Linked DNA regions of Solanum lycopersicum. The protein of the gene in region 7 binds, or shares a complex with, the protein of the main gene of each other region. Links are inferred from orthologs where the notes say so. Each region holds a gene or a part of one and is shown on either strand. Other genes may lie near its edges. The genes, in order: mediator of RNA polymerase II transcription subunit 11, mediator of RNA polymerase II transcription subunit 25, mediator of RNA polymerase II transcription subunit 27, mediator of RNA polymerase II transcription subunit 9, mediator of RNA polymerase II transcription subunit 17, mediator of RNA polymerase II transcription subunit 16 and mediator of RNA polymerase II transcription subunit 13.

Region 1 (3,975 bases), about 7.1 Mb from region 7:
GTGCAAAGAAGTAAAGTATGTCCTTACCTTGATTAGTTGCATGAACTCACTACAATGGTTGTTAATAAGCTCCTTCCTGGGGCCGCTCGGATTTGCCATTTCATCCATTACACCTCCTGCTAGCTCCAGAACTCTGACTATCCTCTGCAAGCATCAGAGGAAGATACAGCAACAGAAGGTATGAGAGTAATGTTTCAGTTACAATTTTTTCTATCAAGAAAAGTGATTACTGACTCCGCATTGAAAGTTATGATCGTGATTTACTCATCAAATTACGATTAGTTGCCTTTGCACTTGACATGCTATATCATCTCCACGTTTTTAATCTGAAGAAACCAATGACTAGGAAACAACAGAGATGCTGTTTCCGTTAGACCAGAGAAAACTCGTGTCAGTAGATATTCAGGGCATATGACAGGACGATCTCGAATACGATTTGATTTCCAACTGTTGAAGATCAGCCTGGAGTTTGTGGAAGATACTCAATGAGCCAGACAGGAAGAAAGCAACCAACAGAAGCAGAAGTTTGAAAAGCCCTTTCAGATCCTATTCTCGGTCCACAGCGTCTTTGATTTATTCATCATTGTCGTCATCTCAACACTATTCCCATCTTCATTCTCTGACTTCGAATTATATTATTTTGGCTGATTTGAGGATGGGTTGAGTTGGGTTGGGTCAGCCCATTTTGACAGTTAGGTGGGTGACATGAAATTCTTAGTCATGGTTATCTAGCCAAGCGGCTCTTGTTCTCATTCATTTCATTTGTCCGGTTGTCCCAGAAATTGAAGGATCCGGAACTCCAGAAGGCTTAGGAGAGCTCAATGGTGGAGTCCCTTACCGAGGCATAACACCATCCATATATCTTCAAGCTTGTCTATGTGTTTCACCCAATCAACGAAATATGGATTTCACCTAAATTCAAAAAGTACTCTCCTCGCTCTCTTTCTTTCTTGAAACATTTTGGTATACAGGATAGGGGAACAAGTAACAAGGACTCGGGCAAGGAAGGAATAATATTGTAGTATCAATTCTGAAATCAGAACATTAAGTATTTTGATGACAAAGAATAGCAGCTACTGAAATCAACCCATCTTAAGTCAATAATCCTGTAGAAACATTTACCTTCTCAACATTTTGCAGCCGCTGCAATGAAGTATTCTGGCTTTGCGAATCCATGTATTCTGAGGGAAGCTGTCAGGACAGGAGAAAAAGATTACTGAATTGCAATGCCGTAGAGCGATCTAGATGTGGAGAAATAAACAGAATCTATAAAACCTGATTATGTGCAGTTTTCAGAGATTTTGGTTCTGAGATCTTTGCAGTCAAATAATTAAACAATCAGAAACCTAAATCCTCTGTAATCAATCCGAAAACAGAAGAAAAACTTACATCTAATAAGTATTATGTCCATTAAACTTACCACCCTACTACACTCTTTCAAGGTACGGGTTTGGCCGAAATCAACAACTTTTCTCTGAACTCTATATTTGTCTTAAGAAATCTATTTAATATGTATAAATTATTAATTTATAAGAGATTATTTTATCCTGCGTGTAGTTGGCAAGATGCAGGATAACAATCTCATGCGATATGTTCTAAAATGTTGAGATTGGCTATTCCATATAGAAGTTGGATAGCTGATCCCACGAGAGAAATCCTTGTCTATTCCATCCCCCATACCGAACGATCAAGGACTAGAACACTGAACCCGTAAACTTCAAATCCTAGCTCCGCCTTTACCCCCAAGACCTGCTGATTATCAAACGAGCAATCCTAACATTTCACCGTCTTCCTCTAGCATTTCTGCAAAGGGGCTATTTCCTTCGACACTCAAACCCATTGCCAGACTTGATTAATCACCCCTTACTGTTCAAATGGAATCATTTCGTTTTTTGCAATTTTCTAATTGTTCAATAGTCTTATAAATTTGAATTCAATTTTTCAAATTCTATCTCGGAGTAGCCATTCACTCAACTCCGAATGAGCTCTTTCGAATCGTTCAATAGCCCTGAACCTGAGATCTGCAGTTTATTAAACAAGCAACCAGTGATAGTCTTATGTTTCTTCGCTGTTCCAAATTTGTCCTACACTCTCAAAACCTCACTAATTTCATATTCCACTTACTTCATTAACTCTTTGTCATCTTCTCTCTTCTCCATTTTTTGGAGGAATTCATCACTCATATCTCTGACTGCAGCGGCTCAACCCTAAAGCCAGCCACTAAAGCAAGCAGTGGATTTAGGACCCAAAAAAATAAGGTCCTCAAATTACAAATCCCTGAAGCTCCGAAAGAACCAAAAAGCCCCAAATTCAGCTCAAATGCACAACGATATTTCATATCATGCATGAGTGAAACAAAGCTCAGATACAAATACAAATACATATAAGACGCACAGGCACGAAATATTTTTCTTATTATTAAAAAAGGAGCCAGCGAGATGTCTGATATCGGCATCTACAAGTGAGAAGTCAATCATACCTTACCTTCAACGGCGGCTATGAGTGGCAGAAGAACGGCAGTCACCGGTGGTCGGAGATAGTCTCAGCTCCGAGTTGTTGCCTGTAATTTTTATTTTTTATTTTTATCATACAAGCATGTAATTGAATAAACATATTGCTTAAATTAACGCATATTTTTTTTAAAAAAAAACATTTTTTCAATTTTTTATTTGTTTAATATGTTATAAAGGTTTTAAAAAAGATATAGCAAACAAAAAATTCAACATAGTGTGAAATTAGGTCTTAGGCGTAACTCACACCCCAAAAGCTAGCTCAAAAGGAAACTCACACCTCAAAAGCTAGCTCAAAGGGTGGAGGATTGCTCAAGCCTTATAAGGAGTTCACTCATCTCATTAATCACCGATGTGGGACTTTTTGTCATTCTTTAACACATAGAAACTATATAATTCTCTATACATATACAGTTGAAGCAAATTGTATAAAATGAAGTGTATAAAACAAAAAATAGAAAGACACTTGGGCAGAGAACTGTATAAAAACGAAGCGTATAAAGCAAATTGCATTATTATAAGTGTATAGAACGATTATATAAAATTTGAATTTGTATAAAATGAGAAAGAGAAAGACAAAAAAGACTTGACAAGGAATATACAATTGAATAGAATTGTATAAAACGAGAAAGAGAGAAATTAGATACAATTTGAGAATTGTATAAAACGAGAAAGAGAGAAAGACAAAAGAAATTGGGCAGGGTGGTATTTTTATTGTATAATTATAATTGTATAGGACGAAAATATATGTACTTGCATGTGTATATACAATTTTCTCATGCTTTATACAAACAGAAACGCAATTTATACATTTCGCTTTTGTTTGTATAAGTGAGAAAGGCGAGGGTGGCGAGCGAGATTTGGGAGAGTGGCGAGCGAGACCTGGAAGAGGGGAGAGAGAGGAACAAAAATATATGTATTTATACAATTTTCTCTGCTTTATACAATTAGAAACAATTTTTATACACTTGTGTTTGTGTAAAAAGTGAGGAAGCGAGTGAGAGATTGGAGGAGAGTGGCGAACGAGATTTTTGGGATAGAGGCGCCTGACAATTTTTTTGCAAACGTTTACTATGAAGCATAATTAAATCAAACCCTACCTACTCTATTTATTTTAGGTTATTAGTTTGCTATATACAATTTTCCCTTTAAAAATACATTTGCTGATTAAATGAATATATACTAATCTAAAAACTATTTATTTTCAAAAACGTTTTCTTAAAACAAGTTTTTTAAAAAAACTTTTTAGCAAATTCATTTGAAAAGTGTTTTTATAAGCAATATGTGTTTGACTAATTTTTTTAAAAAGTGTTTTTATAAGCAATTTGTGTTTGAATAATTTTTTTAAAAAGTGTTTTTGAAAGTCAAATTACGAAAAAAAACAAATATCGATGTGCTTTTAATATTAAAATTATTTTATAGAGAGAAACTATTTTAAACATTTAATACATAAAATTTAATTATA
Region 2 (4,135 bases), on a different chromosome or scaffold from region 7:
AGAATTTAGAAGAACCACTCGGCGGAGGTTTCTGCATCAGCCATTCAAGCCAAACAAACTCCCCAACTGTTTCAGCTAAACGATCAGAAAGCCAAACAAAAATAAATAGCCATGGTAAAGCAAGATAAAAGGAAGAGCTGAGTAGGTGAAGGAGGATGAATTCTCAGTCATTTGCTCAACAAAACATGTGTTTTTGCTTGCATATGTGCGGCTCAGCATATTTGAGAAGAACACCGAACTGATATCAATTCAAAATTGGATGATCTCACCTTTCAGAAATACCAGTAAAAGAAAGAACTAAGAAGCATCTCAAATGAAGAAACCTAACTGAAAATCGATAGAAATCTATAATTAAGTAGACCAGCGATAGAAGGTCAGAAAGCAGGTCTAGTTATCCCTCTCAGTGGTCAACAAGAATTGTTAGCAAAAGAAACCTGCAAATGTACCTTTCCTTGACTACAATAATTTTTTCCCTTGAACATATTCTTCTCGTTAGCAACCTGAGCTTGCCCCTAGAGGGGAAACATATACATGACCTTGAGTGGCATATAATCAACCTTGTCATGGACAGGGTTATATATAGTAAATAACCAAAATGAGTTGCATCCACACCATATGGATGGAGGATTTTCCCTGGTAGTCTTGGATAGACTCTACTCCCATTTAAACATGGCAGTATATTAAAAACATCTTAATAAATCCTTCATTCGAATTGTGCCCAAATTTTCAAATATAGATATTGATTTAAGATTTCTCAATAGTTAATCTTAAGTTTTAAATTTAAAATCTGCATTTAATACTTCTCCAGAGTTTATATATCTTACGAAGCAGGGAATGTAGTGAGCCAGCAAGTCAACTAACAGTCTAAGAAATTGAGGGTCTCAATAAGTTTATTGGATTGAGAAAAATATGCCACAAAGATAACTGTAATGCATGCATAATAGTTGGCAAAGCAATAATATCTTAAACAGCATAATTCAATTAACATGGCTTCTTTTAGTTTCCTTCAACCAAAGAACGGAAGTAATATAATTGGAAGTCGTTTATCCAGTTTTACTCTAAAAAGCCTATTTCTAAACAACTATTATTGCTGAAATGCCTCTTCTGAAAGAGAATTAACCTTGTTTACTTATCCTTTCAAAAAAATAGTTCCATCCATGCAGAAGATTAAAATACACTGTTGATTCCAAGCTCCGCAGACTTAATCAACACGCGACTAAAAAGTTAAGAGAAAAAGGTGAACAACATTTTCCTATTAAATGATCATATTTCCCTTATTCATGCTTATCTGTATACCTAAGGGCTTGGTCTATTTAATTTTTGCTAGAATAAGAGGGGAATTTGTCGGTCTAAATAATTAACATCGGATTTGTGTTGCCTAAAGGTTTCACTTTGACTATCTTCTCCAACACTTTGACTTTGAGGGGGTAAAATGCATATATTTTGTTTTCTTGATGTCACATTTTGGTTGTTTAACATCCTCATTGTCTATTGCTGCAGTATTACCTCACTTTTAAAGAAAGCAGATGAGCAAGGCTATGGTGCCACTATAAATTCAATTAAACACAATAAATATAAATCAGCTAAGTAGTCAAAGTGGAGAGATAGAATAGAGTAACCAAATTTCTGAAAAACAAAGACCACAGCTGTTGAAACTTGAAAAGAAGAATCACTGATTGAGAGCCTTAAGAAATTAAAAATGAGAGAGATACGAGATGATGAAGGTTGCCAGAGAATTCATGGAGAAATAGTAATTGTGTGAACAAGAAATTGTAAGTAGGATTTACGTTACTAAGGCTGTTGCCTCGACTCTTAAAAATGTCACGAGGTGGATGTCGGATACTTCAAAAGTAGTAAATTTTTGGAGGATCCGACAAGGTTGCGGCAACATTTTTGGAGATTACGAGCAACTTAGGTTTAGGGTTTGAGAGAACCATGTAAACAAAAGATCTTATAGAAGGGAAGGGTGGGTAAAGTGCAAAGGTTGGAAATACCAATCATTGCAAACAACTACGAGTTCTTTAACCGCCTCCCTTCAGGAATTAGACTTTTTGTAAGCCATTCATTCTAATTTTCATTTTTCAAAGTTAAACTTCGGTATCAAGGCTTCAAAAGTTTCCCATATTAGTTCAGAGAAACTCAAATGCTATGTGCACATGATTATCACATAGAGAAATGGTATTCTCCTGAGCACAGCATTTTCTCAATGATTTACTAGCATCGGAATGCAGCATTTTCCGTAAAAGATATTTACAAAATTGAATAAATAAACAACTCAATGTATTCATAGTAGACGAGTTTGAATCTATGGTCTGCTGAGGTCAGGAGTTGGATTTCAATAGCTTCTGACCATAATTTTGATTAACTTCGGGTAAAGGTTGAGGTTTTAATCCCCATCCTAAACTAGGGAAAGATAATCGGCCGACATACAACAATTCATCCAAATAACGAAAATCAATGACTGAATTCAGGATGAAATACTAAAACAAAAATGGGAACAAGTAGAAAAAACAAAAACTGAAAATTTAAGTGTATGAAAATGAGTACCTGATAATTTTATCAAGGTAATCGGAAACGATGATTTTCCAGTAAGGGCCCAACACAGCGGTGCCTTCAACGGCGACGATCAGTTTGTCCACCATCGCTGCTTTAACCAACTGCTTGATTTTTCCTTTCCACGTCCAACCTTGTCTTGTTTATTCTTTTCTTATAAAATATTACTCTTTTAACAATAATAATTTTGTGCAGCAGCCAAAGACACAAAATGTTGACTTGTAAATACTATCCCTAGGGTTTGTTTGTTTTTTAATTTATTTCCCTAATATTTAACATTTATATATATATATATGGAAATAAATAAATTCTCAATAAGAATTAACACACCAAAAATAATTATGGTAAATATTGTATTATGGTAAGTTACTGTACTAAAAGCAACTTCCATTGCAAATCGTTGTGTGATCGTTTCTTCCAAAGTTATACAATTACTTCTAAATACGTATATTCGTAATTGGAAGTTGGGAGTTTACATTAAAAAAAAATAAGAATAAAAGAGGACTCTATGTGGTTTTTGTTCACAAATGAAGTTGTTTAAGTAGATGAAGAATTTCGGAAAATGTCAAGTCTCATATGATGACCTGCGGACTGGCAAGATGGTTTGTAGAATGGTTTGCGATTCAAAGAGAGGAACCGTAGGAGTGTCCTAGAAAAAATTTGAGGAACTTTGGGTTCTATGAGAGGGCCCTACGGATCGTAGGAAGGACTTTGTAAAAGTTGACCCAAATCTCAGTCTTCATTACTCGATCTATAGTTGATTAGTACGAACAATAGAAGTTTCTATAATCTGTAGGTGGCACCCATAGAGTCGATCCCACACTATTTAGTAGGGATATTCCAGTGTTTTCCCACCCTTTCTAAGCTTAAACCCCAACATTTTTACCTCTAATTAAGGGCTAAACATTGTTGATCAACTCTTTTACGTTCATTAGCACTCCCAAGACTTAGAGTAATCATCCATGATGAGAAAGGTAGGGTTTTCAAGCATCTTCTTCAAGTTCTTTGCGTTTCTTAAAAAAAAAATGGTCTTCCAAGTATATAAGGTTATTCATACTGATAGACTGAGTTCGTCCTCATGCCCTACATCTAAATTCAGTCAATAAGAGTCTAATCTAGGGTAATACCCTTAGTTTTGAGAATTCTTGATATGAATTATGTTATCAATTTCAAGTTCTAAATTCTTAATTTTGAGTTGCAATATATTATGCATCGAGATCTTCGAGTTGTTTTCCATGTTTATATTTCCACTTGAACTCTATGATGAGTGGTAGATTTTCACTCATTTGAGGTCTTTTTAGTTCAACAATTAGTGTCCTCGTTGCCTGTTTATGTCCTATCTTGATGATATTTTGAGGTTTTTAAGGTATGAAGGATAAAGGACAAGGCAATGATGAATACATGGAAATAGGGCCAAAAACATTGTAAGGAGTACAAATTTCCAACTGGTAGTCGGCTAATAAAAATGGTGGATCGCCTGATTGGTCTGACCTCACCCAAGTTGACTGTGTGCACAATTTTAAATATTCAAGGCAGGTTGGCAGACTAAACATGAAAAGGCAATTCGCCGAAGTTGAATGGG
Region 3 (4,095 bases), on a different chromosome or scaffold from region 7:
AGAACCCACCAACAATAATATACCCCAATTGTTTAGTGTAAAAAAGTAACTCAATTATTGAGAAGTGGTCCTTGTCGATATTAACATATTCCACCTCGACTTTCCCTTTATAAGTAATTCCAGTTTTGTCCTGAATAAACTTACCACCATGATGAAAACGAGTTATAATAATGGCGTCCATAAGATTCCCTGAAACAAGGCTCCAAATTTTTCTGACAGTTATGAACAATAAAAACCAAAAAACCCTAACTTTATCTAGATATTAACAACAACAACCACATTGATACTAAAACCCAGTATATATCAATAAAAACCACAGGATAAACACATATATTAAAAACACACAACCACAACAACATGCTCGTCACTTACCTCACACTCGTCAACTCGAAAATCGCGAATGAACTCCAAAATCGTCTGCAATCTTCGATGATTCCTTCAACAAAACACTCGAAATCACTTTAAAATCTAAGAATTTCAGTTGTAAAAGTCATTGAAAAGGAGAGATTCTTAGGGTTTTCTCGTTTAGAAACGGGTTAAAAGTGATTTGGGGGGGAATTGATTTTTAGGTTTGATGACATAATATGTGGCACTGACGTGTAATTGGGTTGGAGTGTATTGGTCAAAATTTCCACGTGGGGAAGGTTCATCTCACGCGCCTAATTACCAAAAATAATTTATTGAAATTTGACTCCACATCAGCCAAAAATATTTAAAAGGATCAAATTATAGGGGGTTAAAGGATTTATAGGAATCTTGGTTAGTTGAGGTACCTGGGGGAAAAGCGCGAACAACTTTAGGGACCTGCGTATGTATTTGGCCTATTTTTTTTCTTCAAAAATCTTGTATGTATTTATTTTAATATATATTTTATTTGTATTTCTATTTATTATAGTTTTTATTTAGAATTTTGTATAATAATATATAAAACACAAAAAAATTAGTATGATGAAAAAGTGAATGAAATAAAAAATTGAAAAGAAATAATTAAATATTTGGTGTACTCATTCTTAAATAAAATACATAACAGTTGACATACCTTTAGAATAAATACAAATTACAAAAAAAAAAGTCAAATTCAGAAACAATGCAATATAATTTTTGAATGAATACAACTATTAATTGTAAAAATTGACTAATATTATTAAAATATGGATATTATCACTAAATAAGTTGATTTTTTTGACTAGTTAGCTAAATTTCCCTTTTTATTTTTGCTAAAAAAAGACTCCAAGGACATGAGTCTCTCACTTGGGCCCAACATTCAAAACCAAATCCGGCCCAAAACCATGACTGACCCGCCCCACACTATTTCTTCAGACCCCCACGCGCCCCTCTTCTCCATTCAGACCTAAATCGCAGCATCCCTAAAAGACGAAGAACCCTAGTTCGGTGCGGCATCTCTTCATACACTACGCCGTGATTGGCACAATTTCTTGTACCGCTCAAAGATTTTAGAAACTCTTCGATGGTATTGTGTTGTAATTTACCAGAAACTGTGCCTCACTGCGAGTCTACGACCAGCGACATTGCCTGACTTTCACGATTTCTATTGACGGCTTTGCAATCTATCAGCATCTCAGTCTTTTCTTCCAAGTTTCAACTGGTAAGTTTTAATTTTCTGAATTTTAGTGCGACGATTTATGAGTTCCATAAAAATATACTGATTTCTGTTCATCTAGCAAAGTGACCTGTATTGTCATGAGACCTGATATGAATATTTTGTTAGATTGTTTCTATGCAGAAGTTGATATGCACCCGCAGTTAATAGATCTTTGGCAAAACTTTCACTTTTCAATGGTGGCAATACACAGTGATATAGGATGACTTTTAGTTTAGGGAGTGTTATCTTAGAATCACATTAGAACTATCAAGTCAAAATTAGCTCCATTAGGCTTTATTTTTTTTGGTTATTTGACAAGTCACAAGAAGGCTAAAAAAGCCTTGAAAGTTCTTGAGCCTTGGTGAAGAATTGTTTAAGCATTTAATAACTCATTTGTTTACTCCTGCTGACATAACAAGTGTCTGAGGAAATTCATTGTCCCCTTCTTGTTGCTTAGAATGAGTAAGCAGGTTACGTGGCCATACACATTTTTTAACTTGAACTGCTAATTGTTCGATAATCTGATAACTGGTGGCCTCTTCCTACTTTGAACAGCTCAGTTTACCCCCAAAAAATAATGCATTGCATGGGAATCAACCTCTTCAGGCTGCATACTCTAGGGATAGACATCAATTGGTCTGATCTCAAAGTGCATTGGAGCAAACACCTCTATACAATTGTATAACCATTTTTGGTTTCTACTTGGATCAGAAAGTTTGATGTATTTTATTTTCTTTAAATGTTGGACACCAAGAAGTCATGCAAACAGCAACCTATTAGTTTGTTTCTCCTTGGTATCCTACAAGTTGTGGCGATTCAAAGTCCCCTACTTTTTCCTTTCATGAGAATGTAGGCTACGATAACCGGACATCTCTATTCAGTTATCTTTACAGAAGCTACTAATCTATGATAAACTAAACTTGTTGCCTCTATTTTGCTCGTTATGTCCTTCATGCGGCTCTGAGAAATTTGATTGCCTTTTATTTTCTTTAAGCGTTGGACACCAAGAAGACATGCAGACAACAACCTATTAGTTTGTTTCTACTTGGTGTCCTACAAGTTGTGGAAATTCAAAGTCCCCTACTTTCTCATTCTCATGAGAATGTAGGCTACGATAACCCTACATCTCTATTCAGCTATCTGTGTGGAAGGTACTTATCTATGATATAGTGAACTTCTTGCCTCTCTTTTGCCTCTTTAAGAGATACAGCCTTCATGTGGTTCAGGGAAGTTTCATTGGCTTTTATTTTCTTTAAACGCCGGACACGAAGAAGACATGGAAACAGCAACATATTAGTTTGTTTCTCCTTGGTATCCTATATGTTGTGGGTATTCTAAGTCCCCTACTTTCTCCTTCTCATGAGAATGTGGGCTACGATAACCCTACATTTTTATACGGTTAACTTTACAGAACCTACTAATCTATGATATTTTAACCTAGCTGCCTTTTCTTTTGCCATCTACCTCAAGAGTTCCTTCATCTGGTTGACGAAATGTCTTTAGTTTGTTTAGGTGTCGGACTCCAAGAAGACTTGCAACGAATAAACTATTAGTTTGTTTCTCCATGGTATTCTACATATTTTGATGATTCATAGTCCCTTAATTGCTAGCTGTCTTTTCTTTTGCCAGTTCCTTCATCTGGTTGACGAAATGTCTTTAGTTTGTTTGAGCGTCGGACACCAAGGAGACTTGCAACAAATAAACTATTAGTTTGTTTCTACATATTTTGATGATTCCTAGTCCCTTACTTTTTATTCGGAAGTTTTAAGCTCTGATCATTTATGCTTTTGGCCTCAACCTGAAAAACCATTACACATTATCTCATCCCTTGCGTTCTATATAGCTAACAATTAGCATTCACTTGTTGGAAAGAGAATGAGGAATTTGCTGATTGGGAGCTGTATTGTTGGAAAGTATGAAGTTTTGATAGACTAAAAGATAGAACCACAGTTGTATTAGATGGGAAGAGCTGTTTCTATAGCAGGAATTTGAGTTATTCTTTTATAGAGTAATTGTGCTGAAAGTCTGTCCATTAGAAAGGCTTGTGCATTTCTTTGTTATGTTGGAAATGATACTGAGTATGTTTTCTATTGTGATTCTTTCTAGTCTTCTGTGAATACTTCTCTCTTTCTACTTTTCTTTGTAGTTGTTTCGTCCTCCCAGAAACTTAGGTTTCTATCTCTTCTAATGCATTTTCCTCTTTGGTTGTCCACGATCCACTTTCTTGTTTTTATTGTTTCACAATTATTTTGACATGAATACTATAGTTCTCCAGATGTGTACTGGTTTTTTGGTTTTGGGCTTTTGGCTTCCATTTTAGGATTTTAATTTTTTTTGAAACAATTACCATGTTTTTATTTGGTCAACTGATAGTTTCCCTGTTTATTATTAAACATACAAGAACTGACTTACAAAGTTGAAATCTTTCCAATCTACATAGTCGAAGACACCTTGGCTTTATTTTTGCACAGCAGTTTTCCAACTTTTGAAGA
Region 4 (4,282 bases), on a different chromosome or scaffold from region 7:
TGCGAGTATGAGCTATAGTTCAGAGTTAATAATCTCCTCAACTGAGCCTTTGTACCTCGAAATAAGATCCCTGTAATTAAGCATGAAACATGACCATCAGATGAAGCAAATAATAATTATACAAATTTCAGTAGACAATATTAGAAACACACACACACACACATATATATATGTGTGTGTGTGTGTGTTTTATATATATATAATACAAACCTTCGCTGATTTAGCATTTGTTCGCACTCTGCCTTTTTGCGCTTTTGTCCCTCAACTGTCTGTCCAAAGAACACAGGACTGGTCAATTATCTTACCCATATTTAAGCATCAAAACATGCAACCAAATAAGAATTTGTGGAGCAACTTTGTTCAAGTCAACATCGTTTCAAACATATTGAACCCCACTTTTCAGTAAAATTCTTCACAACTATAAGTTGAACAAACAGGCCCAAATGGAAAAGCACAATTAAAAGCAATAACACTGCCAAAAGAAAAACAATCCAACTCTTCCAGAAAAGAATAATTTTGAAGTTCTGTTTTCATATTATTGCGCTTAACTCTTTGTTGGAGTCTCTCTCTTTTTTCTTTTTATTTTTTGAGTTGGGGGTGTGTTCAGAACAAGTTACAACAGAAATCAAAGGATATGTGTGAAAATGAAATACCATAGATCTTGAGCTAATAGACCCTGATATTGATGTCAACAGCTGCTGGCACTTCTCAAACTGATTTTTCAATTCAGTTACCTGGTGAGGAAAAATACACCCGGTTTAATGTAGAAGAAATGGAAAACTAACATATAATGCATCAATCAAGAAATGAACAAACCAATGCATCTGAGTGCTGATCTCGATTTCCATTTTCAATTGTATCAGCTAAATTCTCCACCAGCTGTAAGATGACAATAAAAGTTAGAACAAAAGGTCTCACTAGGAAAGAGAAATGTCTCGTTACTCTATTAAAATAGCAAGCTACAGATCATGGTTTTTGCCCAATACTTGTAAAAGATGGAAGTGAGAGGCAAGTGATTGGTGGTGCTGTTGTTGTTGTTGCTGCTGCTGCTGTTGTTGTTGTTGCTGCATTTGCTGCTGCTGTTGTTGTTGTTGCTGCATTTGCTGCTGCTGCATCTGTTGCTGCTGCTGCATTTGTTGCTGTTGCATCTGTTGTTGATACCGTTGTTGTTGTTGCTGCTGCTGCTGCTGTTGTTGCTGATAGAGCTGCGGTTGAATGAACTGTTGTTGTTGAAATTGCTGTTGCTGAAGAAATAAATTGTCTTGATTGGAGGGTGTCGAAGGATTACTGTGAGTTTGGATGTTGGGGATCATTGTCCAACTTCCTCCTCCAAAGTGGTCCATAACTAATGGCTGTTGAGCTGAAATCTGTTGGTACTTTGGTTCTAAAATGGATAAAATTAATGTCATCAGATGTAATCAAGTACTACACAAATAGCCAAAACTATCAAAGCATGAACTGGCCTAATGGACTGAGTAGCAAAGAGAAATAATTCCTAAGATTCTGAAATGTACAAACCACTTCAAAAATATATTTCCCATCATTCCTAAATGACATTTCATCCACATCTTATTACAAGAATAGTTCTTTTGTACCAAAGAGAACAAAGCCATCAAGTGAGACCCTCTAAAACTGAAGCCCATCCCTCGTAACAAACAGTAAACTCTTCTTTGAAATTTAACAAACAGTAAACTCTTATCTCCAAGTAAAAACTACCATGACATCTGTATAAATTTGGTGTTCACATTGTTAAATCAATAGGTACATCGGAAAAAATTACTGCTGCAACTATGTCTTTTTGATAAGGTTAAAAATTATCCTTGAATGGGCATCGGGTAGATGCCAGATTACAAAATATGCGACCGCTTAGCTCTAATTCGGAAGGGCATAAAAAAAATCTCAGCACTCATACAAGTATCCTAAACTAAAGCTAAGGAGCTAGCAATCCCAAGCAAACCAAAAGGGTAGATAGTTATTAGTATGCACTAAAAAAGTTTACAAAACCTAAAACTGTAAAATTAGATAGTTATTAAAGTGAGAAATGAATCAATCCCAACTGCACCTCTTACTCTTTATCTCTAATTTAGCTCAGTAATCAAGAAGTATGCCTCAATCCCGAATTAGTTTGGGTTTACTATATGAATTCTCTCCATTAGAACCCCATCTATTCCAATATTCAATAATTTAGGTTTTCATAACCCTAGAGGTTCCCTATTACTAACATACAAATATCTCTCTATCTATGAAATTAACAGTTTTAGGTCAAAATCACAACCTCAAAATTTCCAACAAAAAAGAACTCTAAATCTTCTGAACAGAATCTTCGTTTGCTATAACACTGACAACCAAACCCTTGATTTAAGCCGCCACAAGAGAATGAATTCACAACTATACGAAGCTAAACTTTACTGAAACCACAACTAGTACAGTTAATAACAAAGCAGAAGTACGATGAGAATTACAAAACGAGAAAGATTACCGGAGATGAAAAGGCCCGATCCGGTTAAACCCCAACGGAAAATCCTCTGTTTTTTCAAATAGCAAAATTGAAATTACTCCCGCTGTCCCAATTTGTGGGGAGGTTTCGATTTCAAGAGCAAACAAGCTAATTTAGAAATTTTAACATTTTCTATAGTATAAAATTTAGTATGTATTAAAAAAAAATAGATAATTTTTAATAATTAAAATACTAATTCAAAATACATAAAACTCACTTTTCATTAACCGATTTGATTTATATATGAACTAATATTTTAACAAACTGAAATAGATTGAACTAATAAAAAAGTAGATCACTAGTGCATTCAAATTTGAATGAATTGTATTTAAATTAAGAGGAAACAACACAAAACACACATTTACATTTGTGTTATTTATCGGTTGAAACTATACTTTCTAATTATATTTTCTCTTAGAACTTTACAAAATAGATACATATGAGTCAAAATTAGATATAATTTATTCTATACACTTGATATCTAAGCATGTTTCACATGTATTCAAAAGTCATTATAAAGAGATTGATAAATAAGTACAGTCAAATAGAAAAACTTGCATATGATGTTCATTGATTGGAAAGTTTTTTAGACAGAGTCTTGAAGGAGGTTTTTTGGAGATGTTTGGAAATTGGAGGTATGTAGAAGTCTGATATCAAAACGGACACTTTTTAAACCCTAAACACTAAAAGGGACCCTCTATAAAACACACACCAAATTTTTTTGGAGGTCCCTTTGGGTGTTTAGGGTTCATAAAATGTATGTATTAATGCCAGACTCTATGACGTATATTTAGAAGATCAAGGACATGTATGAAGGAGTCAAGACCTAGAAGAAAAAAAAGCACTTTTCCACTATGAAGAGGTTGCACCAGACATCAACTTTTAGATCAAAATCATTTATCTTGATGATGAATGAATTAACGCGATATATCCAAGAAAGTGTATGATGAGTATGTTACTCGCCAAATAGTGGCGGAGCCAGAAATTTCGCCGAGGTTGTTCAAACTTTAAAAGAGTCGATAATTTTTTTAGCGAAGTGGGTACACAAAATTTATTTTTGCAAATGTGTGAGAAATTAAATTACACATCACTTAGTAACTAAATCTTGCGGAAATTTAAAATGATAAAACTATCGATGGAATAAATCAAAACTAATGGACAAAAGTCACAAAATAATTTTTGCTTGAAATATACTCCCTCTAGTTCATATGAAATAAATTGTCGAGTGTTTTTTGTAATTTAAATAACTGAATAGTTCAAATATCGAATAATGTATGATGAGCTTGAGTCGAGTCACAAAAAGGGCTATGATGAGCCTTTTGAGAGTGACTTTCACGATTATGATGAGTTTTTTTCTCCTATTTTCAAATTCTTAACTATTTTACTTTTTCTAAATAGAAAGATACTTTAGAAATACTCAAAAGTATAATAATAAATAATAATCTTTAATTTTTTCTTTAAAATAAAATCTTGAGAATGTGTATACCTAATAAGTCACTTAATACAGATCTCTTACACATAATTGAAAAGAGAGTGTGTTTTATGTTTTAAAAAACATGTTGCAACTGAGGACCTCTTGCACGTAAATGAACATGCTTACCAGCAGACCAATAGACTTTGTCATAGGTGTTCAATTAATTATATATCGCAATATTATATAGCATTTTATTTATATATAGGGTATAATTTGGCCAAAAACATTTTTTAACTATACCCGAAATCTAAACTACATCCTTAAATTATTATTTTTAGCATAAAACATCATTTATCTATACCCCAAATTTA
Region 5 (4,001 bases), on a different chromosome or scaffold from region 7:
CGAATGAGTTTCTCTCACATGCTCATCATCACTTTTTTCTCTCTTAGTTTCTCCAGAAGAATCCTCAAAAGACACCTTTGGTCTCAGTCTGCTATGTTTTATAACACCAGCAGGTGTACTTGCACCGAGAAACTCAAATTGAAGAGTCCGGCAGGAATTTGGCGGTAAATTCACAGCCAGCATCCCAGCTGGGTCATGCTCAATACGCACCACAGATGCAGAAGATGGGCGAAATGCAACCGCTGGATCATATAATGAAGTGTCAAATAAATCAATGTAAAACCCTTCATTTCCAGAAGCAGCAGCAACCATCCGATGCCATTTAACCTTCCAATTTTGCTGCAATCTATCAGCTCATCAGGAAATAGCCAAAATTTTGAGGAAAGGCACAAAGACATGGTAGTCTAAATGACTGCACACATATCTTTCACAATGTACTAATACTGTTCGTAGCCACAAAGAACAAACCTGATAAGAGCACCATAAAATCTTGCTTCTCTAGCCACTTGTTGTTCCAAAGCTTTGGCAGATTGCTTAAAATATTTCCCCAAATGCTGCAAAAGAAAAGCCAAATTACGAAACACATACAGCTTTGCTAATGAAGTGCATAACTATACTTTGTCAACAAACCATTAGACTTAAAGATAATCAGTGGATTATTTGTTTAACTCAAACTTATACATCAACCATAACATCTTGCAGAAGGGATAAAGTAAAATACACGGAAGCATTGCAGCTTGGTTGCCATAGACACGGCAAGGTCTGACAGATGCTCGTTGGGCAATTGCTTTGGCCTGGTCATGCCAGCCACTGTCACTGCATCGTTTGCCTCCACCTGTATGCAGAACAGCAGAGTCAACAATGCAATACATAATCCACAGTTCCTGCTAATTTATTCATCTTATGCCTAAGAAAGGTGCTGTCTTAAATGCCAGGGAGAAGGGGCAAAAAGGGATTGAAGGAGCAAATGGACTGACGAATCTCATGCCACTTAAATAACTAATGCCGAAAGCTTAAGTCAAATTTTTTAATCCTTAGTTGTCTCTATCATACTGATAATGAGGAGTAAATGATATGCTAGGGACATTATCATATGCCTTTTCTAGGTCAATGAACACCATGTACAAGTCCCTCTCCTTCTCCCTATACTGCTCAAACAATCTCCTTTCATGGCTTCAAGCTGAATTGGTTCTGACACACCCCTCTTCATCCTCATCTCGACCACCCTTTCCCAGACTTCCATAGTGTGGCTTAGTAGCTTGATACTCGTGTAGCTATTGCAATTTAGAAAAGCCACGTTGATTCAATTCAAAAATCCAATATGTGGTGTATCCAACTTTACACCTTCCAAAAGGCCTTTCTTTATCACGCACACATGAAATTCCCTACTGGAACAACTTAGAGGTAGTTAATAATTCCTCTGTTGTAAATAAGATGTCTTGATCTTCTTTCTCTAACCACTTTTCAAGTACATTCACGATCATACATGTGTGTATTTTACAGTTCTCTATTGTATTTTCTGAATTAGATTCATACCTTACTAATATTGATAACTAAATAAAAATGTTCCAACCCACTCTCGTGATAAACCTCAACATTGGAATAAAACCAGTGTGCTCTATTCTCATAGATGAAATTTTATTAACATTTATCCATGATGCAAACACTACTCTGTATCATTCAGTCTAAAACTGCATGCCACAAAAACTCAATTGGCCAATAATGAGTACAGCATAAGACAAATGTATTCCACTTTCAAGCACATTATCAGGCTAAAACACAAAGTTTTCCTCTTATGGTAAGTGCATGGAACACAACCAGCTAGGCACAAGACATACTAAACATGTACCAACAAATAATCAATCAATCAACCGACACCTCAATCGCACACTAGTTGGCATTGACTAAACCTCCGTATTAAGGCGGAGCTAGAGTGTGGGAAGCAGGTTCAGCAGAACCTAGTAGTTTTAGCCCACTTTGTAGGTATCATATGCAATCCATTTACTAAGTACAAATTACTAATTTAGAAATCATCAACTCAAAAAGAATAAAATCCCAAACCTATAACCTGCTCACCATTCTTTTTTCTCTATTCAACTTCATTATTCTCAAAATCTCACAATTATCACACATTAGTCTTTGACCAGACACCACACAAACACCAGACCAGATGTAAATATCAGAACAATTAAAACTTAATTTGAACTATTTTCTATCAAAACTATATAGACATTAAGTTCAATCATTAAAATTATAAGCCAAAATTCTAATGTTAACACTTACAGTGTGAATGAGATCGATAATGACTTGAAGCTCTTGATGAGCCAATCGCAAATTCTCCACCAAACTCTGCCATTGCCATGGCTGACTGCTACTTGTCTCCTTTGAAGAAGTAGCACTACTGCTTTTCTTCTGCTTCTTACTTGGCTCTTCTCTTTCCACTGCCCACGCAAAATCAATTCTCCTAATCAAATTCACCGTTTTCTCATCGTATCCTATATCACTGCAACAATTACGAAAAATCTAAATGTAAATATCCAGCTCACAAACTGATTATGCATGAAATTCTACATTTTTATATAGAGAGAGAAAGAAAGTGTACGAAGGGAAGCGTTCAGCGCCTTGTTCTTCAATATACTCTAAACGCTTGATCGGAAGCTTGTCGACGGAAATCTCCAGATTGCCGTTCATTTTTCAGGGAGATTTTCCGGGAAGAAGTGTCGGAGAAATCCCGAATTGTGCCCTAAATCGGGGAAAATACCCGTCGAAAATAATTGGGGTTTGGTTCGCTTAATGTATGGGCCTATTAAGATCTGGGCTTAAATCATGGGCCTATTACGAACCACACTATGGCCCTTTCATGTTTGGTTTGGTGGGTCAAAAAAGGGAAACTTACGTAAATGTACTCGCTTGATCACTTTTAATTCATTTATAATACAAGTTTAATACATATTACACAGAACAATTTATTATTCACATGTAATACAAGTTTTAATGATAGATAATACACTTATAACACATTTTAATACACTTATAGTACAATGCGACAATTTTTTACCAAACAAACATAATATATTTCAAAAACAATTAGAATTCATATATATTGCATACATAATTCACTTTTAATACATATTACAGACTTATTACAGTATTGCTATAAATGGTAATAAACAAAAAATATAGCTAAAATCAGTAATTATATTTTAAAATGTATTAATTCATGTAATTTTTTCGTCAAAAAATGAGTTATTTGCGCTTTTATCGTATTTGTACTTGATTTCAATTTTTGTCTCTTATGATAAATCAATAACTTTTTTGGTGGGACGTAAGTTTAGATTTTTTTTAATCATAATATCTCATAAGTTATAGCACGTGTGCCCTTAAAGAACTTATGTACCGCTAGGTATAAGTTTGATTATTAAAGATCAACCTATTTAAAAGAAAAATCGTGCAATTATCAATTATTAAAGGTAAAATTTGAAGATCAACCTATCTGAAAAGAAAATCATGCAATTAAATATTCAAAAAGGTTCGATAGTTAGCAAATCGTCTTGTAGTTTCGATAGTAACTAGGTCTACAGAAAAGTTATGCGTCTTATATTCATGCATAACTTTCATACTGAAAATAACACAGTTAAAAATATTATTACATATATTAACTCAAATAAATATGATTGGTGAATAAATTTTACTTATATACATTACAATAAACATCTTAGTTTCATTATTTTCTTGGCGGCTAAGGATTATTTTTACAGTAACAGATCGGTCTAATCACGAGTTCATAGATTCAATAAAACTTAATGATTTGATTTTGAACATTGTAGTAGCATATGCAATTCTTTGACAATAGATTTATTTCAATTCTGTTTTTGACGATGCATTAATATACATGTAAAATTTAACTAAGAAAATCAATTAATTTCATATTTATATAATTTCATAATACAAAAGAACAATAAATTTTTTATTTAAAAAAATCTAAAAGTTTGAAGCAATTA
Region 6 (3,500 bases), on a different chromosome or scaffold from region 7:
GGACAAGTACTAACTCTTCCAGTTAATGAGTCTCTTTTCACATTTCTCATGTACCCCATTCCATATGTCTCTGGACTTGCTTTTAGCTCCCAAAGGCATACCTAGGTAAGTAGTTGGAAGCTCCCCAACCTTGCCTCCTAGTGTTCTGGTCAAAACTTCTGTATTAAGCACACCATTGATAGGATAGATGAAGTTTTTCCCCCAGTTAATGTGGAGACTAGATACAGCTTCAAAAATGACAAAAATGACCCTCAAAATCAGTATTTGTTTTGTCTCAGCTCTACAAAATACCAATGTGTCATCTGCATATTATAGATGAGTTATCTCTAAACTAGAAAGTTCTCCTGCTTGGAACCCCTTGATCCATCCTTTTCCCTTTGCTGTATTAATGAGGTTACTCATTCCTTCCATAGCTTAGATGAATAAAAATGGGGAAAGAGGACCCTTTGTCTCGGGAAAAAGCCAGTGGGTACTCTATTACAAGTATAGAGAACCTGACAGTGCCGATACAATGTTTTATCCATCTTATCGGGCCCCAAAACCCATACTTCCCAACATTTGTATAAGAAAGTCCCAGTTTAAGAAGTCATAGGCTTTTTGTATGTCCAGCGTGCATGCAATTCCTGGCTTATTACTCCTTTGTCTGGTCTCTATGCATTCATTAGCTATCAAAATGGCATCCATAATTTGTCTGCCCTTGATAAAAGCCATCTGATGCCTATCCACCAGGCTATGTATCACCCTCTTGAGTCTCTCTACTAGAAGCTTTGAAGATTCCTTGTATAACATTCCTGTGCACATTCACTGTATAAATGTTTAAAACATACTTTTTGTCAAGATAATCTTCCAGACATGTCTGATTTTTCTTCTTGATAAAGATTCCAACCTGTCTAAAATTGTTTAGCAACCTATCAGTTTCAAAAGAGAACTCTCATCTCCTGGATGTTCATTATGGAATGAGTATTTTGGCATAGAAGTTCTTTTTTGAAAGCATCCAAGGTTATGACCTAGTGGTCAATGAAGTGGTTGAGAGCCATGAGATCTCAGTGGAGACAAAAAAACTAGGTGATTCTTCCCATATATCTTAGTCTTGGTGGACAGAGTTACGTGGTACTTGCTGCTGGTGGGAAGTGAAAGGTATCCCGTGGAATTAGTTGAGATGCGTGAAAACTAGCCTGAACACCACGGTTATAAAAAAAGTAGTTCTCTTTTGAAAATTTCCAACTCCTATGCTGTGACTCTGCTTTGCTATGATCTGTAGAGTGTAGACTGTTCTTGACTCAGAGAACATGGAAAGGAAATCTCCTTTCATGATCTATCACACATTTATTAGTATGCATATATCCTTGAAATCACTATCAAACATGTATAAATCCTTGGTTTCACAATCAAGAACATGCTTTTGATGTTATTTCTCTCTCTTTCTCTCTCCCCTCTCTCTCTCTCTCTCACTCTTTTTCTCCTTGTTCCTCTGGCAGTTGCTTTCATCTCAAATGGATAGATATATTGTCTTTTGTACTGAGTTGCTTTTTTGAAATGTTTTTTTAGTGCTGTTGCTTGGTGTGGAAAGCTAAATGCAATAGCTTGTGCGTCTGAAACATGTGCAAGGATTCCAAGGTTAGAGCCTCGATTTCCATCACTGTAAATTACTTCAGCACTCTGTACTTTACTGCACATGGATATTATAACTGTCCAGTGTTTCTGCTAATTCGATGTGGTCAAATTCTGTAGATATCACTTTATATCTTTCGCTCAACTGTTTTATTCTTATTACTTCTACCTTTTTGTAGTTCAAATGCAAATCCACCTTTCTGGATCCCTATACATATCGTCATCCCAGAGCGACCAACTGAGTGCACTGTGTTCAATGTTATAGCAGGTATTGTAGAATGACTTGACAGTGGCCATGGATTTTTCTTCCTTTTGCAAACATGTTTAGAACCTAACAAACGAGGCCCTCTCCTTTAGGTCCAGCAGTTGTTTATGCATGAGATTTTCTGTTTCCTCCTCTGATTTTCTCGCACATAGAAGGAAAATCCGAGATATTTGTGAAATGGTGAACAAATGAAAACTGAACAGACGGTGCAATGCAAAGCAGTGGATAAACAACTCTTCATGGAGGAACAATTAATTAAGTTCTCAACTTTTTGAGTAATATGTGACGGACCTTCAGTGTATTAAAGAATTCTTAATGTTTGTTGTGACATTTAATTTTTCCGACCATCATATATGGGATGCTAGATTGCTTATCAGTGTTTGTACTAAAATATCTTGGAGTGCCCATTTTGAAGTGACAATTTGAATTGTCTAATTATCATAAATATTTGGTGAGATTGCATCTGGACAAAATGATCCTTCTAGTTTCCACGCAAAGCCCGAATCAAGCTTTGACCTTCTAGCATAATATTAAAAACTATTCATTGAAATTGGAGTTGATTAATTTTTACATGATTGCAGTGGATTAGAAAATAGTTCGAGTAGCTTAAAAACACTTTTACATGATTGCAGTGGATTAGAAAATAGTTCGAGTAGCTTAAAAACACCCTCTTTTCAAGAGGACTTAGTTTGTTTTGATTTCAAATGCGTAAGAGTGCTTTTTTTTCCTTTTTAGATAACTAAATAGGCCGTAAAGCTCTGGTCCATTGTGTTGTTGTTGCACTGAACTGAATTTTGTCCGAAGAGATGCTCACTTTTAACTCTTGTGCATGATTGATTACCGCCAGGTGGTTTATTTTGATATTTCATCTTTTACATTTTACATTCTACAGACTCCCCTTGTGATGTTGTTGCACTGAACTGGCTTTGTCCGAAGAGATGCTCACTTTTAACTCTTGTGCATGATTGATTACCGCCAGGTGGTTTATTTTGATACTTCATCTTTTGCATTTTACATTCTACAGACTCCCCTCGTGATTCCGTCCAATTCATTGAATGGTCTCCAACTTCGTGTCCACGTGCACTACTCATAGCTAACTTTCATGGGAGAATAACAATCTGGACTCAGCCTTCACAAGTAAGCTGTTTTTTCTGGAGTTTACTATAGTGCATTTTGTTGTCCTTTTCACTTTTTGTTTCATGTATTTTTGGTTACTTGCACGTTCTTGGTGAGGGGTTTCTTACCTTTTCCATGTCACATCTGCTAGCCAACATCTTGATTGAGTGTTGGTTTTTCTCATATGTTACAAATTCAAGATTAATTCTGCCTTGTTGCTTCAAAAACTATTCTTACTTACTGCACTTAAGGGTGTGGTCCAATGGTCAATGAAGTGGGTTGGTCGTAGACTCAGATTCCAACAAAGAACACTAGGTGATTTCTTCCTATCTGTCCAAGCCTTGGTGGATAGCTGGTGAGAGGTAGGAGGTACCCTGTGGATAGAGTTACCCAGTTCCTGGTCCTGACACCACACTTTTTTTTTTAAAAAGAACTATTCTTACTTAAAATGTATGCTTGGTACACAGGGTTCAGCTAATCTGGTACGAGATGCTAGTTGTTGGCAGCG
Region 7 (3,028 bases):
CTCAAGCCTTGGCACATTGGACTATTAGATCAATTGACTAATACAAAATATAAGCTAGCTCTAGAAATCTCGAATCCAAAGCCTAGGTAAAAATTTCGAAATATTCTGATATGAATCCAAATTTAATGGTGACAACAAGTGAGACTAGTTTGCTTTTCATAATCCAACATTAGTAATGATGTGGTTGGTTACCTTATTCATACCTGCATAAATCAACTTTACAATATGCCTATGTTAATTGTCATTTTTGTTGCCCATTTGAGTTTTGAAATGGCCAAATGATCTATTTAGATAAACGAACACACATTTTAATCCACTAGTAAAGTACCGACACTTATATTAACTTTTGAAACTTGTGATCATAAAGCACTTATACGACTGCTAGAGCTAGTCATTTTTGATAAATAATATCATTATTAGTTTGAGATTGGTAGTGTTCATGCCTTCCATCTTTGTTTATATTTAGCATAAGTAAAATGAAAACAAGACCAGAGAACAGATTAGTCCCCTCAAAGAAATTAAATGGAAAATACAAAGGCAAAACTTTGCCATTTTCAAGGATTCAAAGTACAGATGACACATCATTTCTCCAAACTAGCCTAACTTGAGATCCCCATTTCCCATGCACTAAGCACTGCTATTCAGCAATTAAAAAAATGAACTAAGAGTCACAAATCTGCTGTCTAGTAAAACCATCCTGTCATCAAGTGCCTTGGAATGTTGTAAAGATAATGAGGGACTCGAGCACTTGATAGTATTTTTAGGACTAAAGAATTGTGTACTCAACTCTTTGGATCCCTGTAATAGTTTACATGACATTATGTACAAAATAAAAATCTACTATCCTACAACTACTAATTTATCCCAAGGTAACACTTCTCAGAAAGGATGTTCTCCAGCGAACTAGTATATGCATTTTGTGTTTACAGTCTGTTTCTATAACGAAACAAAGACACAAGATGGACGGCTTGAACAAGTTGTGTGTATGCTGCAATTTACACGTATCCTAAACTTGGCTTTTCACAGGTTGCCGAGAAACTTCCTTATCGGCAAAGTGAAGCAGTCTCCGAAGCCTTAATACCATGTCACAATGTAAAGGCAAAGCAGATCTTCTCTCCAAGTATGCCGGACTTACAGTCATCCATGATAAAGCATGGAGCTCTGCAGCTATGTTCTCAAGAATCAAGTGAGCTGCTATTTCAACATCTCTTGTTTCCGAACCTGTACCCCTTCCCCCAACCTTACCAACACCCTTCAAAAACTTTTCATGGATGACGTTGCTGCCACCATAGTAATCAACGAGGCTGACAGAAAGAACTGAGGGCCATTCTTCTTTTGAGATACTCCTTACATCTCTCCTCATTGTAGGTACAGCTTTTGAAACCACAAAACCTGTTGAAAGGGGAATGGCACATCCCTTGCTGTGGAGAAGATGGGCAAGTGGTGGTGATTCAGCAGTCAGGCAAGTAGGAAGCTGAAGACTGACAGGAGGTAGGAATCTCATACTGGGTGACGGAATTAGAATGTAGGAGGTGGACGTAGAACCAAGGGACTTAACTGGGGTATAACCTTCAAGATAACCTGGCTGACTCATAATGCCACTACTTTGACTTGTTCCTGCAAAATTTATACCATGCATGAATATGAAACAGAAATAACCAGGCATAAAAATGTCAACTGATGACAAATCAAAAGAAAATATTTTTTTAATGGATTCTCATATGGTAAGCCCCAACATCACCACTACCCAAAAGAAGAACCTGACACAGAAGTGCAATGGTAACCCTATCCCACTTTACTCCCTTGGTAACCCATATCCCAACGACAATTCCTTAACCTACACTATTCCTCCCTTTACTTCATATAATCTTAGTATCTCCTCTACAGCCCATATTGTAAATAAGAGAATCTAAAAGAAAGCCACAGTCAACTCTATCAGAGAACAGGTAGTCTGAAAAAAAAAACAAAAAAAGAAGAGAGGAATTGTAAGGAATTGTACCATGACTTGTCGAGTCCGCTTGAATCATAAGCTGTAAGGAATGGTCAATAGAAAGAGAGACAAAACTAATGCTTTGCACCAACTGAAGTAAGCCCCTGGAGTTGTCCACTACACCCTGTCCGCCAATTAACTGCTTCCTTGTGGATGGTTGACCTAAGCCACCTTTCATGAAAGAGGAAGCCTTTGAGTGAGAACTGTACAATGGACTAGGGGAGGAAGGAAGTGCTCTTTCTTGAATCAGACCTATTTCCTGTTGCTGCAAGGATGTCCCATTACTACTTGCAGTCATTCCATCAGGCACAGATCGCCTTAGCTGCAGAGACCATTTCTTCACCTCAGATCCCCCAATTGAATACAGGGCTTTCTGCCATTCTGCGTCCAGAAAATTGCATTAATAAGATAAGCATGATTGATAAATCAAACAGAAACTTCATTTTAGTCGCTCAAATCAAAACCAACCAAGGTTATACTTTATCAAGATATTCATCATATCCCACACAGATATATTAGAATTAAATTGTTTGTGTTCCACAGCCAAACCAAAAAATAAAAAATAAAAAAAAATAGATCAGCTAAAACTTTGTCGCAATTAAAGACGGAGACAGCAAGTCAGATTCATCAAAATTCAACACCAATGAGTATTATGATGTAACAAAAGTAGACAGTAAGCACAAGATATTGATGACAAATGTTTACCCTGGCATTCAAGCTCAAGGAAGCATCCTATACGAGCAATGACAAAATCCCTAGGCTTGGCAATGGCAGCCTCAGGTGGACATGACTGAAGGATCTGACATCCTTGTTGCAGAATTTGCACAAACAAAGATTGCAGACCTTTCGTATCCTGCCTACTACTTATTCCCCCAAATGGATATATATGATTATCAAGCAATTCTCCCCTGGAATCTGTCCATATACACACCAGCCAGCGCCAATCTTCAGTCCAACCATAACAACAATGCAGGCTTGGAAGTGATTTTTGATGTGCAGATCCAAAACCATCTGGTACAGATGTTTCAGACTGAGTGT

What was found.
Region 1: mediator of RNA polymerase II transcription subunit 13 (region 7) and mediator of RNA polymerase II transcription subunit 11 share a complex: the UniProt entries of both Arabidopsis thaliana proteins name them as parts of the mediator complex. The link is inferred for Solanum lycopersicum from reciprocal best matches to the Arabidopsis thaliana genes GCT and AT3G01435.
Region 2: mediator of RNA polymerase II transcription subunit 13 (region 7) and mediator of RNA polymerase II transcription subunit 25 share a complex: the UniProt entries of both Arabidopsis thaliana proteins name them as parts of the mediator complex. The link is inferred for Solanum lycopersicum from reciprocal best matches to the Arabidopsis thaliana genes GCT and PFT1.
Region 3: mediator of RNA polymerase II transcription subunit 13 (region 7) and mediator of RNA polymerase II transcription subunit 27 share a complex: the UniProt entries of both Arabidopsis thaliana proteins name them as parts of the mediator complex. The link is inferred for Solanum lycopersicum from reciprocal best matches to the Arabidopsis thaliana genes GCT and AT3G09180.
Region 4: mediator of RNA polymerase II transcription subunit 13 (region 7) and mediator of RNA polymerase II transcription subunit 9 share a complex: the UniProt entries of both Arabidopsis thaliana proteins name them as parts of the mediator complex. The link is inferred for Solanum lycopersicum from reciprocal best matches to the Arabidopsis thaliana genes GCT and MED9.
Region 5: mediator of RNA polymerase II transcription subunit 13 (region 7) and mediator of RNA polymerase II transcription subunit 17 share a complex: the UniProt entries of both Arabidopsis thaliana proteins name them as parts of the mediator complex. The link is inferred for Solanum lycopersicum from reciprocal best matches to the Arabidopsis thaliana genes GCT and AT5G20170.
Region 6: mediator of RNA polymerase II transcription subunit 13 (region 7) and mediator of RNA polymerase II transcription subunit 16 share a complex: the UniProt entries of both Arabidopsis thaliana proteins name them as parts of the mediator complex. The link is inferred for Solanum lycopersicum from reciprocal best matches to the Arabidopsis thaliana genes GCT and SFR6.

The regions. Positions count from the first base shown.
Region 1 is NC_090803.1:5,625,740-5,629,714, forward strand, and holds the start of mediator of RNA polymerase II transcription subunit 11, read right to left. Parts: upstream 2,801-3,975; 5' UTR 2,485-2,800; exon of another isoform or gene 2,480-2,484; intron 1,192-2,479; 5' UTR 1,177-1,191; coding exon 1,123-1,176; intron 145-1,122; coding exon 28-144; intron 1-27. UniProt on the Arabidopsis thaliana protein: Component of the Mediator complex, a coactivator involved in the regulated transcription of nearly all RNA polymerase II-dependent genes.
Region 2 is NC_090811.1:29,982,590-29,986,724, forward strand, and holds the start of mediator of RNA polymerase II transcription subunit 25, read right to left. Parts: upstream 2,801-4,135; 5' UTR 2,643-2,800; coding exon 2,548-2,642; intron 1-2,547. UniProt on the Arabidopsis thaliana protein: Component of the Mediator complex, a coactivator involved in the regulated transcription of nearly all RNA polymerase II-dependent genes.
Region 3 is NC_090800.1:77,928,903-77,932,997, forward strand, and holds the start of mediator of RNA polymerase II transcription subunit 27, read left to right. Parts: upstream 1-1,295; 5' UTR 1,296-1,606; intron 1,607-4,095. UniProt on the Arabidopsis thaliana protein: Component of the Mediator complex, a coactivator involved in the regulated transcription of nearly all RNA polymerase II-dependent genes.
Region 4 is NC_090801.1:55,598,634-55,602,915, reverse strand, and holds the start of mediator of RNA polymerase II transcription subunit 9, read right to left. Parts: upstream 2,801-4,282; 5' UTR 2,480-2,800; intron 1,385-2,479; 5' UTR 1,344-1,384; coding exon 987-1,343; intron 880-986; coding exon 817-879; intron 735-816; coding exon 654-734; intron 270-653; coding exon 211-269; intron 71-210; coding exon 13-70; 3' UTR 1-12. UniProt on the Arabidopsis thaliana protein: Component of the Mediator complex, a coactivator involved in the regulated transcription of nearly all RNA polymerase II-dependent genes.
Region 5 is NC_090811.1:1,513,889-1,517,889, reverse strand, and holds the start of mediator of RNA polymerase II transcription subunit 17, read right to left. Parts: upstream 2,801-4,001; 5' UTR 2,692-2,800; coding exon 2,603-2,691; intron 2,504-2,602; coding exon 2,284-2,503; intron 836-2,283; coding exon 722-835; intron 555-721; coding exon 469-554; intron 347-468; coding exon 1-346. UniProt on the Arabidopsis thaliana protein: Component of the Mediator complex, a coactivator involved in the regulated transcription of nearly all RNA polymerase II-dependent genes.
Region 6 is NC_090801.1:59,378,304-59,381,803, reverse strand, and holds part of mediator of RNA polymerase II transcription subunit 16, read left to right. Parts: intron 1-1,548; coding exon 1,549-1,617; intron 1,618-1,790; coding exon 1,791-1,879; intron 1,880-2,900; coding exon 2,901-3,013; intron 3,014-3,248; exon of another isoform or gene 3,249-3,354; intron 3,355-3,459; coding exon 3,460-3,500. UniProt on the Arabidopsis thaliana protein: Component of the Mediator complex, a coactivator involved in the regulated transcription of nearly all RNA polymerase II-dependent genes.
Region 7 is NC_090803.1:12,755,466-12,758,493, reverse strand, and holds the end of mediator of RNA polymerase II transcription subunit 13, read right to left. Parts: coding exon 2,696-3,028; intron 2,372-2,695; coding exon 2,000-2,371; intron 1,618-1,999; coding exon 1,007-1,617; 3' UTR 501-1,006; downstream 1-500. UniProt on the Arabidopsis thaliana protein: Component of the Mediator complex, a coactivator involved in the regulated transcription of nearly all RNA polymerase II-dependent genes.